Mus musculus: one gene and its partners. The protein of the gene in region 1 binds, or shares a complex with, the protein of each later gene. Links are inferred from orthologs where the notes say so. Each region holds a gene or a part of one and is shown on either strand. Other genes may lie near its edges. The genes, in order: Cab39, Strada and Stk11.

Region 1 (3,781 bases):
CACACACAGGAAACACCCACATCCAAACACTCATGGCGGAAATAAAGTGCTGTCAATGTTTAAGCCACTGATGAGGCTGCTTTCTTAGCCACATGCTGTGCTGCTGCTGGGAGAGGGGGAACAAGAAGGACATACGAGGAGAGGAGGAAACACAGGTTCTGCCTCCAGAACCTTATAATGGAGTGGGATAGGAAAGCAAATGATGAAATACAACAATATTTAAAACTTCAAAGATTTAAACTACTAGTGGAAGGATTAAAAATTAAGCCAAGTCTTGTAGCATGGACGGGAAGTTTAAGTGGAAAGTTATTATTCTAAGTTCTCTACACGTGCCTATCAGAGCCTGGACAGTGTAGTGTATAGGGGCCTACTGTGGCACTGTGAGAAGCCCTCCAGAGGAAGGGAGAGGTATACGAGTGAACACAGGCACTGTAGCCCTGGGGTGGCTGTGTGGCTGACGGGCAGTAAGTCATCAAGCACCCGGGATCACTGACAGCTCTCTGGAGGTCATCATTGCTGGGTTTGACTGACACTGACACAGAGCTGGAAGCAACCTTACCGATGGCTAGTCCAATGTCCTCACTTTACAAATAAGGAGGGTTTCTAAGCCCCCAAGCAGTGAGTGCCTTGGCCATGGCCACAAAGGAGTAAGCAGCGAAGCAGGGGCAGTGCTGGGGTCCTGCCCACTAGGCCAGCGCTGCTCAAATCCTATCAGCTGCTGCCTCTTTCTCTCTACTTGTGTGCAGCAACTGATGAAAAAGGAAGAAAAAGTATAAAAGTCAGACTAAATTCTCTTTGCATCTTAACTAGATTATCATTCAGGAGCAAAACTGACCACTTCCCCCTTCTAAAATAAATAAAAAAAAGATGCAAAGGGCAATGTATGAATCAAGGTCAAATTTTGCTTCAGACTTAGTAGTCCTCAATGTTGTTTCAGTAAAGTGATCATAGCACTATTTACAAATACTAAAGAGTCAAATATCCTGATGTAAAATCTAACTTAAATCTCCATTTAAGTTAATTTTTGTTAAAAATTACAAACATCATTTAAAATATTTCACATACTTACTCTATCATAATGTTGTTCCAAAAATTCTGCACTGAGCAATTTATGTCTTGTAAGTAAATCCTAGAAGAAGAAAACATGTATTTTTAGAGTTGCTCTCCATTAATGCTTTCTTAGGAAAGAGAATTCTAAAATATCCACCAAACTGCCTAATAAACTGTTGTTAACTATTAGCACACAGTTGCTACTTAATATTTCATAATTTTTCTCAGGACCATAAAGTGACCATGAAATGACCTTGGTGTCACTTGGTCAGAACTGTTTATGCCTCATTACAGGTGGCCCTGGCCCAAGGTCACACACATGGACACCAATCCAGCTTGAGCTCCTTTGTGGAGATTACTGAGATCTGGGTATGCAGGGAGTTGATCTGCCTCTCACCTCCCAAAAATGTCCCTCACAGAAGCTTTTTGTCTGTCCAGTCATCTACTCCTGACCTTAGACTCTGACTTAACATCACTTCCTCAGAAAACTTTTCCTGATGTGTCATGGTTGTAATTCTACATGTGCTTGTGGGATTATTTAGTAAGTTCTCTCCTTCATTAGACTGTCAGTTCCATAAACACAAGGACCACACCACACTGGTATTTACAACTTTTGAATTTCTGGCACCTAAACTCTTCCTAGTACATAGCAAGGGCTTAGTGTTAATAAATACATCAATGAATGGATGAGGAAAATTAGATGATGTGTTCGGGGAAGCATCATACTCAATGTTCTGCATGGTATGCTGTCTAAGAAAGCTTCTAACCCCACCCCAAGAATTCACACTGTTCACTGCTGCACAGGGCTTGTGCTGTGTTTCCTCATTAAAGAGGGTGTTCAAGAAACTTTGCTCAGTTCCCCCAAGTCTCTTAACTGTGAGAGTTAAACAAGAGAAATAAAAAAGCTGGAATTAAGTTTCGGCCTCTCTGGAGATGCAGTAGTCATTTTACTGAACCCTTCAGTAACCATCTGCTGCTCAGCGGATGTCACATACAAGGTCTCTCTGCATGTGACAGGTGCTACAACCCCCTTCACAGGCAGAAAGGAAAGTTCAAGCATCAATGGTTGCAATGCAAAAGAGGAACACAATTACTTCCAAGGGAGTTACCAACAGAGAAAGCATCTAAGCCTCCTTGTCAAAGAGCATGTCCACCTTGTAGCCTGCTACCATGCTTGTTAAAGGCTGATGTCCCCTGAGTAGGTACCACAAGGACAGGGCTTCTATGTACAGGCCACTGCTGAATCCCCAGACCCTAGAATAGTGCTTGAAACAAGTCAGGCACTCGGAAACTGGATGGATGGAGACTAGCATGTCAGAATCTGTTCACGGTGATGCCACTTCAATTTTGTGGCTGAATCATACTTGCAGGCAATCTGAGTAAGTGCAGCCAAAGGGCCCTCTTTCACACAAGGCAATACCACACCTCTCTTCATGCTGGGCTGCTGCTCCTGAATGGGGCACTCCCTTCCATCGATGCATCCTAATCGTGAGTCTTACCCCACAAATGCGGTGAGCTTGAGACATCATGGTGACACTTAACTACAGTTTGCTTCCTTCATACATGACATGTACACACATTATCTGAGAAATTACTTAAAGCTTCTGCAGAAGCTGTACTAATTTTGGAAAATAAATCCTTGGTACTATTAATGCCTTAGTCAGGGTGAAACCTTACTGTCAGTCCCCAGGCCTTCCTCCTGTCCTACCGTATTCATTACCCTTACATACGAACTTTACCCAGAGCCACCCTTGTCTCAGGGGCTCTTTATTAAGAAGCTGAGCTCTTACAAGGAAAGTGACAATTCTGTGTTAGTGTTCATGGCTTCTGAGTATGAGTGAGCTACATGTACTAAACAAGAATTCAACAACTTATAGCTGTCCACCCTGAATGTGGTTCTTGTATTTGATAACACATATATTCCAAAATCCATGGCCTCTGAGCAGAGGCCAATTCTATTACCCCATCCAGTGCCAGCCAAAGGAGGCACTACAGAGTGCCTCATCACAAGAGAAAGCCTGCTTGTTGGACAATCTGTATATTATCTATGCCACACTTAGTGAATAATTGAACAGGAAAGTGCAATTTTGACCTTACAGGACTTTTGCTTTTCTGATAAGATTTGAGAATTTAATTTTTTTACATTACAATTTTTTTTGTGGTTTTACTACAAATACCTGAGGCATACAAATGTGTATAAAGCACATCTCTATTTCCACTAGAGGGCAGTGTGAGTAGAGGAGACAAAGATGGGGAAACAATCTGACTTGCAAGTGTGCTTAGAATTTCAGTTTTTAAATGTTACCTTGAATGTAGCAAATGCATCTGAAGCTATGTCAAATGTTGACATTTCAACATATCTGAAGAAGTCATAAAACTGTTCTGACCACAAAATGATTTTTGCAAGTGGTTCATGTCTGATGCATTCTCTTAACATTATCCCACAATTAAGAGCTATTTCTGGAGATTCATACCTGTAAAACAAAACAAAACAAAACAAACAAAAGCCATACATGATTTCTCTTTCAAGACAGCAAAAGTGAACATTTCAAACTTTCTCAATGGAAGTTTCAGATACTCCTAAGTGACTACAGCCACGTTACAGCAGGGTCATTTGATCTGGAGCTTACAGCTGCATGCAGAGGTAGACAGCTGCGTTCAATCAAGAAAATTCTGCTGGGCAGTGGTGGCACACGCCTTTAATCCCAGCACTCAGGAGGCAGAGGCAGGC
Region 2 (4,464 bases), on another chromosome or scaffold:
TTACAGATCTTGTGAAAACGCAGCCTGTAGTTTGGAAGGTCTGGGGTGGGCTGGGGAACTCTAACGCACTCCCTGGAAACGACAATGCCGTTGCCATGTGGACTGTGCTATTAACTAATATTTGAGAAACCTTGTTTGGAAGAACAGTCCAAGAAATGTCAATCTAGGAAGGAATGGAGACAGGGAGGGGTAAAAATAGCCTAGAGAAAAGCAAGCTGTTTAGAAAACCCCTTTCCTGGAGTCTGTGGCAGTAGGAACACCAGGAACAGATAAGTGGCTAAGAATGAACTATGAAATAATAAATAATTATATCTTTAAAATATTAAAAAAAAAAAAAAAAGAATGAACTATGAAGCATGTACAGCCCAGCCCAGCCCAGGCTATCTAGTTCATTCTTTACCCTTGGAACTCTTTGCTTTAAGACAGGGTCTCCTACACACAAAGCCACTACGTAGCTGACAGTGATCTTGAACTTGATTCTGCCTCCATGCTCCTCATTGCTAGGATTACAGGCCTGCACCACCAAGTATGGCTGGGGACTATCTTTTACAAACTCTCCTAGATATGTGGTTGTGTAGTCCCTGACTGAAAACTGCAGAGACTTAATACCTTATCTGAGAGCCCATTCTACAGCTGATGTGTGTTTGTGTTTTTGAGTGTTCGGAAAATGATTAATATGCCACGGAGCCAATGCCAGAAAAGGAAAAGTTTGGAGGTAGAAGTGGCTTTAGTGGAGGGGTAGATTAAAATATTTATTCATTTAATGTATAAGAGTGTATAGTGGCTGGGCGTGGTGGTGCATGCCTTTCATCCCAGCACTCCGGAGGCAGAGGCAGGTGGATTTCTGAGTTCGAGGCCAGCCTGGTCTACAAAGTGAGTTCCAGGACAGCCAGGGCTATACAGAGAAACCCTGTCAAGGAACAACAACAAAAAAAGTGTATACTGAAGGCTTGCAGGAGGGGTGCACATCAGATGTCTTCCTCTGTTGATCTCTGCCAAGTTCAAGTTTAATGAAGGTTGACTAATGTTGAGGATTCTATCTTCCAAGAAGCAGGGATAGCAATTTGTGAGAAAAGTAGTACTTGATGTTTAAAAGGAGGTTAGAGATGGCTTGGTGGATTTAAAGATCACCAGCTAAGGCTGTAAAAGTGGCAGAAATCCACAGCTGAGAATGATAGCTCATGTGTGGATTCTCAGCCCTCAGTAGACAGAGACAGGAGGATCAGGAATTCAACATCACACTTGGCTACAGTCTCTTTTGAAAAAAAGAAGAGACAGAGTGTAGTCTATAGACTCCACTTCCCTTTTTGTCCCCAGTCTATTGTTGACACTCAGTACCCTCTATTACAGCAGCGCTCCCACTAACCACCTACATTCCTCACCTTAGCTTTTTCCCCTCAAGGCAAGGTTTCTCTGTGTAGCCTTGGCTGTCCAGGAACTCACTCTGTAGATGAGGCTGGCCTCGAACTCACAGAGATCCGCCTGCCTCTGCCTCCCGAGTGCTGGGATTAAAGGCATATACCATCATGCCTGGCTCTCACATTAACTATTACACTTACCAATGTGTGTATATGTATGTATATATGTGTATATATATGTATGTGCTTGTGTGTGTATGTATGTATATATTTATGTGTGTACCTGTTTCTATGCTTGGTGAAGCTAAAGGACATTGTGTATTCTACTCTATCACTCTGGACACAGGCTGACAGCCAGCAAGCTCTGGTGTTTCTCTTGTCACAGGCTCATGGCCACACATGGCTCTCTACATGAGTTCTGGAGACGGCAGCATATCTTCCTATCTACAGAGACACCTCTCCAACCACCCAACCATACTATCGCCTCATTATCTCTCCCACTACAACAGGTACCGATAGGAGAATTCACTTGTTCTGACAGACTTTTTTTTCTTCTATTTTTACCGCTGGTCCTCCAAACTTTATGTCGGAGGTCACAACTATAAACCCAGCCAAAAAATCTTCTAAGAAACCTAATTAAAGGGTGAAGAGAGTTGACCAGTTTCCGTACTATAACTAATGGTTAAACTATTAAGTTCCTGCACTACGGCAGAAGCAAGTTAGCAATTTTCTTTTTGGTAGTGTGGAGAATGGAAAGCAAGTCCGCACTGATGTTAATCAAGAACTCAGGCGCTGAGCCACGCCCACAGTCTCAAATTTGGTTAATCAACCCTCAAGGATCTGAGTCAGTCTCAGGTGTTGGGTACCTCCGGATAAGGTTATCAACTATCATGAAGACCCATCCAAACACTGGAACATAGTTCTACTTCAACGGGTATTTCAGTAAGACCGAGTCCAACCGTCTGGGAGAAAGGGGTCAAATTGAAGTACCTTAGGGTCTTAGCAGAAGACTGAGTTGAGAAGTTATCTATTTCCTAAAATTATGAACAATTTTATTTAGCCACTCCCCTTCTGTCATGCTCACTCTCCGCCACCATACTCGGTCCCCAAAACTGCTGGGACACTTAAGACAACACATTTAGAAACTCTTCGTTTTGACCAAAGCAGAGAATAGCTCTGATCTTGCTTCCGTATGAGAACTCAACCCCATTTGGAAGCCCCGGAAAAGGTGGGGAGGCCATGCGGTAGCTAGCCTCTCCGGTCCGGCAACTCTGCTCAGCATCTCCCCAGCCAGGCCCAAGCCTAATTTTGCTCTCAGGCTGTAACCTCAATGCGGGAACCCAGAACCCAGGTTAAATGAGGGCCAGAGGAGGGCGAGGGTGAGCCGGGATGGCCACTTGAGGCTCACCCCCGAGGACACGGACTCGGAGTCTGGCAAGAGGGATTATCCCTGGGAGCGCACCAGGCGGCTCCGCCACCGGGTACCTGGTCTAGGAGTCAGAGCGCAGTACCGACTCCGTCTCGGCTCCGCCTCCTCAGTTTTGTAGCCGCGCTGCCGCCAGGCCGGTTGCTGGGAGGGAGGTACGCAACGTGACATGCGCAGTGGAGGGACCCAGGGAGACTGGCCGAGCCTCGCCCCTCCCCTTCACGGAACAAGCCCCTCCTACTCCCGCCCCACGGAGGAAGTCCCGCCCCTCCCCTACGGAGAAGCCCTGCTTTGCCCCACCCAAGAAGGGAGCTCCGCCTCTTGCCTCCAGCAGAGGAAGTCCTGCCTTGCCCGGTTCTCAGAAGATGCTCCGCCTTACCCCCTGCCCACTAAGGACTCTGCTTCGTCTCGCCTCGCTTCACCCCACCCATCCCAGTGGAGGAAGCTCCGCTTTTCCCCAGAGAGAGCTTCTGCTTCCATCCCACGTTACCGTTACCGGACATGCTAGACCCGCAGTCGCTTCGTCAGGGAGAGAGTTATTAACTAGTCTTTTTTCCCCTTTGCTGAGGTCGTTCCTTATCTAGGACGAAGGCAGGTTTCCCCACGTATGTGGAAGCGAAAGACCTTGTCATTGTTGCAGTTCCAAAGGACCCTAGAGTCTCCCTCGAGTCTCTGTACCCCTCCTAACCCAGCAGCAAGAAAAGGGGCAAGGGCTAACTATAGCTATTGACTTGGCTACCAGGGGTATTCCCACCCCTCATCCCACACTCTGCGGTTCCCAAATCCCAGGTGCCATTTCACCTGGTAGGACTCCAATTGAAAAACAAGTCTTTCTTGGGTCAGTCTCAGGCAATAGAACAACAAAGAGGAAACTTACCCTTTGTGCCCAAAGTTCCTTCTCCTTAAAGCACAGAAAATAGCTCAACTAAACGAGAGCTATGGTTTGTTTTTTGTTGGGGTTTTTTTTTTTTTTTTTTTTGTCCCTAAGTGCTTCATAACTATTTTTTGGTAGTGAGGTATTTTTGAGATAGTGTCGCATGTAGTCTGGACTGGCCTTCAGATCAGCTTCCCTCTGCCTCTGCTGGGATGGGATTAAAGACTTGGTGGTATGTCCTCTATTAGCAGAAACCTGTGATGAGTTTGCCTTTATGAAAAAAGACAGCAGGGGCCAAACCATATAGGACTAATAAAATGAGGACTCCGTTTTATCATGAAGTGATTTTTAGTCACTTCAGTTACTGTGGAGTGAGGGCCCAATACATCTGTGTACATACTGTCAAGTAATGAATACTTGTTTTTTTTCCTGTCTCAGATTTATACCAGTCGACTAACTTCCAAGAATTTTAAGTTTGGCCACATCATACAGGAACTTGGAAACGCACACTACCCTCACCTGAAGATCTCAATGTTTTACACACAGCTGTAACCTTGCCTAGTGCGTTTAACATGCCAAATTTGTTCTCAGTCTCACCACATTTCATCATCAAACAAACATCACGAACTCACAAAAAGCAAGGGGACTGGAGGAAAATGCAGTTTCTGCCAGTTCACATGGTCTTTGGAATCCAGAATATTAGGGAAAGCAATACCTGAAAAGGTGTCAAGCTTCGGTTTTTATTTTTTCATATGTTGTGTGTGTACTTGTACTTGAATGTACTTGTGTGTGTGTGTATGTGCGCG
Region 3 (4,321 bases), on another chromosome or scaffold:
CTGCCATAGTTTAAGGCAATGTCAGAGCAATGAAATGGAGGTGAAACTCCAGAGTCTCCCTGTGTGATGTGGGTGCTGGCCAGCAAACCTGTGTGCTCAGGAGAGCAGCCAGTGCTCTTCACCCCTGACCTGTCCCTCCATCCAGCCTGACTCTGTTTGTCTAGTCTGTGTTTTCCCTGGATTTCTGTCTTCACGTCTGTTTCTCTGATCTTTTTTCTTAATTTATGTGCTTGCATAAGTCAGTTCTCTCCTCCTTTTAAGTCCTGAAGGCTGAACACATGTAGAGCAAGCACTTTTCCCACCTTTCCTGGAGTCTAGGTCTCTCCCTCCCCCAGGACTCTCCTGGCAGTACACCCCGCCCCCTAGTGGCCTCGGAGGGAACCATAGACTCACGGATCTATGGACCTTGTAACCGGCCTGTGCGTAAACTTGTGTGTAGAGGGAGTCAGGCAGGGTGAGCACTCGTCCCTCAATCATACTCCAACCCTTATTTTTTATTCGTGCAGTTAAAAAAGGGCACAGATAAAAATAATTAGATTAACCACCCAAAAACACTGCAGCAGGTGAGTTGAGGCCAGCGGCGACGTCTTACCCAGCCACCTTTTTTGATAACTGTTATTTAAAATTCTGTGTTGTGTGTGTGCGCGCGCGCGCCTACCACGGAGTCCCTAGGTTCAGAGACAGCCTGAGGGAGGCATTTCACTCTAGCCACCTTGTGAACTTACGGGGATCGAACTCATGAAGTCAGATTTGACGTCAATCGCCCGCAACCTCTGAGCCATCTCACCAGCCCAGCTGCTCTTATTTTGCACAGGAAACGCTCCTCTCTATGCCATGGATCTCAGAGGCGCTACATTAAGGCTTCAGGTTCGGGAGTGTCGACTTTGGGCTACTTTTTGACCTTTGACCCCTCCCCCAAGGCCGTTAAGAGCAAGCCTGGGCTGGATCTCTTTAGGGATCCACGAGCCTCTCTCTCCACCCTCCCCCATGCCTCCAGTCGCGGCCGTTCCCCGGAGGACGTTGACGCGCGTGAACTCTAACCGGAGGCCCGAAACTCCGAGGTCACCACAGCCAGCCCAGAGGTTTCGCTGGCCCGTCGCGCTTGCTGACGGGCGTCTGCGACAGCCACTGGCAAATAAAGTCCCGCCCCCACACACCAGGGCCAACCACTGAGGGGCGGGGCTTGAAGCCACAGCCCACGGCCGCTCCCTTACAGTCGCTTGCTTACTCCCATTGACGGGCGTCTCAGACAACCAATGAGAATTTAGATCACGCCTTCTCAGATGGAACCCGAACTGTCCAATGTCAGCTCGGGCGCCCACCTAGATCCAAATAGCCCAATCCTCGTTGGCGATTGAGGCGGGTCCGAAAGGTGGGGCCTAAAGCTACAGCCAACTGCCGCGCACGTCGGCTCCGCGAGGGGGCGTGTCCACCGTTGCGACGTGCGACGACGGCGCGGCGCAGGGCGGTAAACAAGATGGCGGCGGCGTGTCGGTCTAGGAAAGGGGAGGCGGCTCACGGCGTCCGCGAGTGAGGCGCGAGTCGCCGAGGGCGGCGCCGGCGTGGAGTTGTCTCTCGCGGGCAGCATCTTTCTGCCTGGAGTTCGATTCCCCCCTCGCCGCTCCGGCCTCCTGCCTGTCGCGCGGCGGCTAGGCGGCGAGGGGGACGCGCCGCCTGGGGTGGTTTTTTTCCCCCCTCGGTCCCCGGAAGATTTCCTGTCCGGATTTCGTGTCCGCGACTTGCGGGTGTCCCGGTGTCCCGCGTCCGGGTGGAGTCTGCGCCCCGAGAAGTCGTAGAACTAAGGGGCCGCGCGCGGCTTCGGCGCGGGCCGGACATGGACGGCGCGGACCGGCCTCGACGCGGCCGCCTGGGCCCCTGAGCGCGGGGCCCAAGTGGCGAACATGACCTAGCGGCCCGCGCGCCGCGACGGCGGACCGTCGCCTCCGTCGGAAGCAGCGTCCCCGGGGACCCGAATTGGGGGGACGCGAGGGTTGGGGGGGCTCATTGCTTTTTTTTTTTTCATTCTTATTTTCATTTTTTTTCTCCCTGAGCACCTAGAAGAAAAGGGGAAAATCAAAAGTGAAGAATTGGCGCCCAGGAAGCGGACGTGGACCCGGTTGTGGGGACCGGGAGAGTTGTGGAGGTCGTTCCTGTTTTTCCCCGTTCCTTTTTTCCCCTTCTTGGAACATTTGGAAGAAGCGGGTGGGGGGGGGGGAATTCGAACTTGAAAAGAATTGGCGCTCCCGAAGGGGACGAGGACAAAGAGTGGGCCAGGATGGACGTGGCGGACCCCGAGCCGTTGGGCCTTTTCTCCGAGGGCGAGCTGATGTCGGTGGGCATGGACACCTTCATCCACCGCATCGACTCCACCGAGGTAATCTACCAGCCGCGCCGCAAACGCGCCAAGCTCATCGGCAAGTACCTGATGGGGGACCTGCTCGGGGAGGGCTCGTACGGCAAGGTGAAGGAGGTGCTGGACTCCGAGACCTTATGCCGCAGGGCGGTCAAGATCCTCAAGAAGAAAAAGCTGCGCAGGATCCCCAATGGAGAGGCCAACGTCAAGAAGTAGGTGCCAAGGGCCTGGGGCCGACGCGGGCGCTGCCTTGAGCTCCTTGGGCAGCCCTTCCTCCTACTTTCTGGCTCTTCTCTTTCCTCTAACCGTTTTCTCTTCTCATTTCCTTCCTCCTTTTTCATCTCTTTCCTTTTACTGCCTTATCTACCCCATCTATCCCTGAGCGTCACCTCGTGGGGTCTGTATGTTAGGGCAGCCTGCAGGACTGTCCTAGCAGGAGGTCGTGCAGCCAACTGCGCCTCCAGCCCCCCTCTTTGGGCCAGGTCCTGGCGCAAGTCGCGCCTGGCTTCTTTGGCGGGCGTTGCCAGGCGGGTGGCTAGTTTGTTTACGCAGCTAGAGGGAACCGGTGGGGCCAAAAATAATGGTGAAGGGGGTGGGGGGGGTAGCCGGCCAGTGCTTGCGCAGGTCCCTGCGGTGTCGTGCGCGTAGTTGGCGTCGTTGGCCCGTGGGGACTCTTTATCGCCTGCTAGGCTTGGCGGAACTTGGAAAACTTCACCTACCGGCTTCCAAGAAGGGGCCTTATCTTTGGGACCAGCACTGGCCACACTCTGCCTAACTGACCTTGCCTCTGGTCCTGTCCCAGGAAAGGCTGGCAGCTTCTTGTTTTTGCCAGCTGGGCACTGCTTTGAGTGGTACGTACAGGAAAGGAAGGTGGACAGATATCCAGGATCAGATGTGTGGACCCAGGGGTGGAGCAGGGCAGGCTGGTGGCCTAGGCTCCTCTCAGGACCTCCTTGGCCTTTTTTGTAGGAGTGGTCTTAGGTCAGTCTTGCACTGGGGAACCTGGGCACCCAGCATCAGGTGTTCCTTCAGAGGCCTGAGCTTGGAAATTCCTGGCTTGAAATCATTGTCTCAAGGTGGAGGTGCCAGAGGTTGCTCACCTCCAGGTGGTGTCTGCTGGTCTCCAAGGCAAGTGGCTTCCTTTGGCTTCAGGGTAATGGTTCTTGGAAGCCCACCATGTCTGGGAGGCTGCCCAGGCCTGCATCCTGGCTTGGGTCAGCTGCAGTCCTTGTAACACATGGCAAGCCTGTGTGCTCTCTCTGCCTGTGACAGAGGGCCCCAGAGCTCTGTCTGCGACTTCCTAGCCCTCACCTGCTGCTTTAGGCTTCCTGCCATCTCAACACCCAGGTTGGGGTGTGGCTTGCAGAGCCAGGCAGGTTCAGCTGAGAGAGATTGGTCCCTAGATCCTGAAGTAAACCCCCCCCCCCATGAATTAGTGATGCTGGACACAGTCAACACTGGAGGTCATCAGGACTGGGGAGCTCCTACACACTAGGGTGATATAAGGAGCCTGCACGGTTCCTCAAGACAGGAGTTGGTCTGGGCAAGTAGACACATGCCTCTCATTGCAGTGCTGGAGAGACTGAGGAAGGAGGATTGCTTCTGTTTCTAGACCAGCTAGGAGTGCATGGGAAAACCTGGTTTTATAAGGGAAACTGGTTGGTAGGGTGAAGGCCCCAGGACCCACAAGGTGAAAGCAGACTCAGTTCTCACAAGTTTGCTCTGACTTCCATGTGTATGCTGTGGCACATGTATATACACACACAAGATAAAAACCAGGAGGAGAAACTGAGGCAAAAGCTGCAGACTGACACACTGCCCTGCAGTAAGGTGCTTGACTGGCAGGATACAAAGCCAGGTATCTCCATGGGAGTGCTGGTGTTCCCCACTTCCTGAGTGGCTCCTGCAGGGCAAAGCCTAGGGCTGCTGCACCTGCTTGTGTGATCCCCACTCAGCCACAGCCTGGAA

What was found.
Region 2: the proteins of Cab39 (region 1) and Strada are in contact, whole or in part, in a crystal structure (PDB 3GNI), measured with the Homo sapiens proteins. The link is inferred for Mus musculus from reciprocal best matches to the Homo sapiens genes CAB39 and STRADA. Residues at the interface, in NP_001124321.1 of Homo sapiens: Leu26, Glu27, Lys28, Gln29, Tyr55, Gly56, Thr57, Asn58, Ala85, Asp86, Gln88, Leu89, Phe92, Glu93, Lys96, Arg107, Glu138, Leu141, Ile145, Ser176, Thr177, Phe178, Asp179, Ser182, Asp183, Glu221, Asn222, Tyr223, Val224, Arg227; in NP_001003787.1 of Homo sapiens: Pro64, Leu104, Glu105, Cys107, Ser108, Asn109, Val112, Gln116, Leu119, His120, Lys123, Leu124, Phe125, Asn126, Thr136, Phe137, Ile138, Asp140, Asn141, Leu143, Tyr185, Met189, His223, Gly224, Arg226, Val426, Asp427, Asp428, Trp429, Glu430.
Region 3: the proteins of Cab39 (region 1) and Stk11 are in contact, whole or in part, in a crystal structure (PDB 2WTK), measured with the Homo sapiens proteins. The link is inferred for Mus musculus from reciprocal best matches to the Homo sapiens genes CAB39 and STK11. Residues at the interface, in NP_001124321.1 of Homo sapiens: Gln109, Gly111, Thr112, Lys196, Leu197, Leu238, Asp239, Arg240, His241, Phe243, Met246, Ile250, Val280, Ala283, Asn284, Pro285, Glu317, Gln318; in NP_000446.1 of Homo sapiens: Gln100, Arg103, Arg104, Glu165, His168, Ser169, Gly171, Leu201, His202, Pro203, Phe204, Ala205, Ala206, Asp207, Asp208, Phe234, Arg301, Ser307, Arg310, Lys311, Lys312.

The regions. Positions count from the first base shown.
Region 1 is NC_000067.6:85,841,941-85,845,721, reverse strand, and holds part of Cab39 (calcium-binding protein 39), read right to left. Parts: intron 3,525-3,781; coding exon 3,356-3,524; intron 1,130-3,355; coding exon 1,070-1,129; intron 1-1,069. UniProt on the Homo sapiens protein: Component of a complex that binds and activates STK11/LKB1. In the complex, required to stabilize the interaction between CAB39/MO25 (CAB39/MO25alpha or CAB39L/MO25beta) and STK11/LKB1.
Region 2 is NC_000077.6:106,190,623-106,195,086, forward strand, and holds the start of Strada (STE20-related kinase adapter protein alpha), read right to left. Parts: upstream 2,982-4,464; 5' UTR 2,844-2,981; intron 1-2,843. UniProt on the Homo sapiens protein: Pseudokinase which, in complex with CAB39/MO25 (CAB39/MO25alpha or CAB39L/MO25beta), binds to and activates STK11/LKB1.
Region 3 is NC_000076.6:80,114,343-80,118,663, forward strand, and holds the start of Stk11 (serine/threonine-protein kinase STK11), read left to right. Parts: upstream 1-1,452; 5' UTR 1,453-2,275; coding exon 2,276-2,565; intron 2,566-2,605; exon of another isoform or gene 2,606-3,245; coding exon of another isoform or gene 3,246-3,481; intron 3,482-4,321. UniProt on the Homo sapiens protein: Tumor suppressor serine/threonine-protein kinase that controls the activity of AMP-activated protein kinase (AMPK) family members, thereby playing a role in various processes such as cell metabolism, cell polarity, apoptosis and DNA damage response.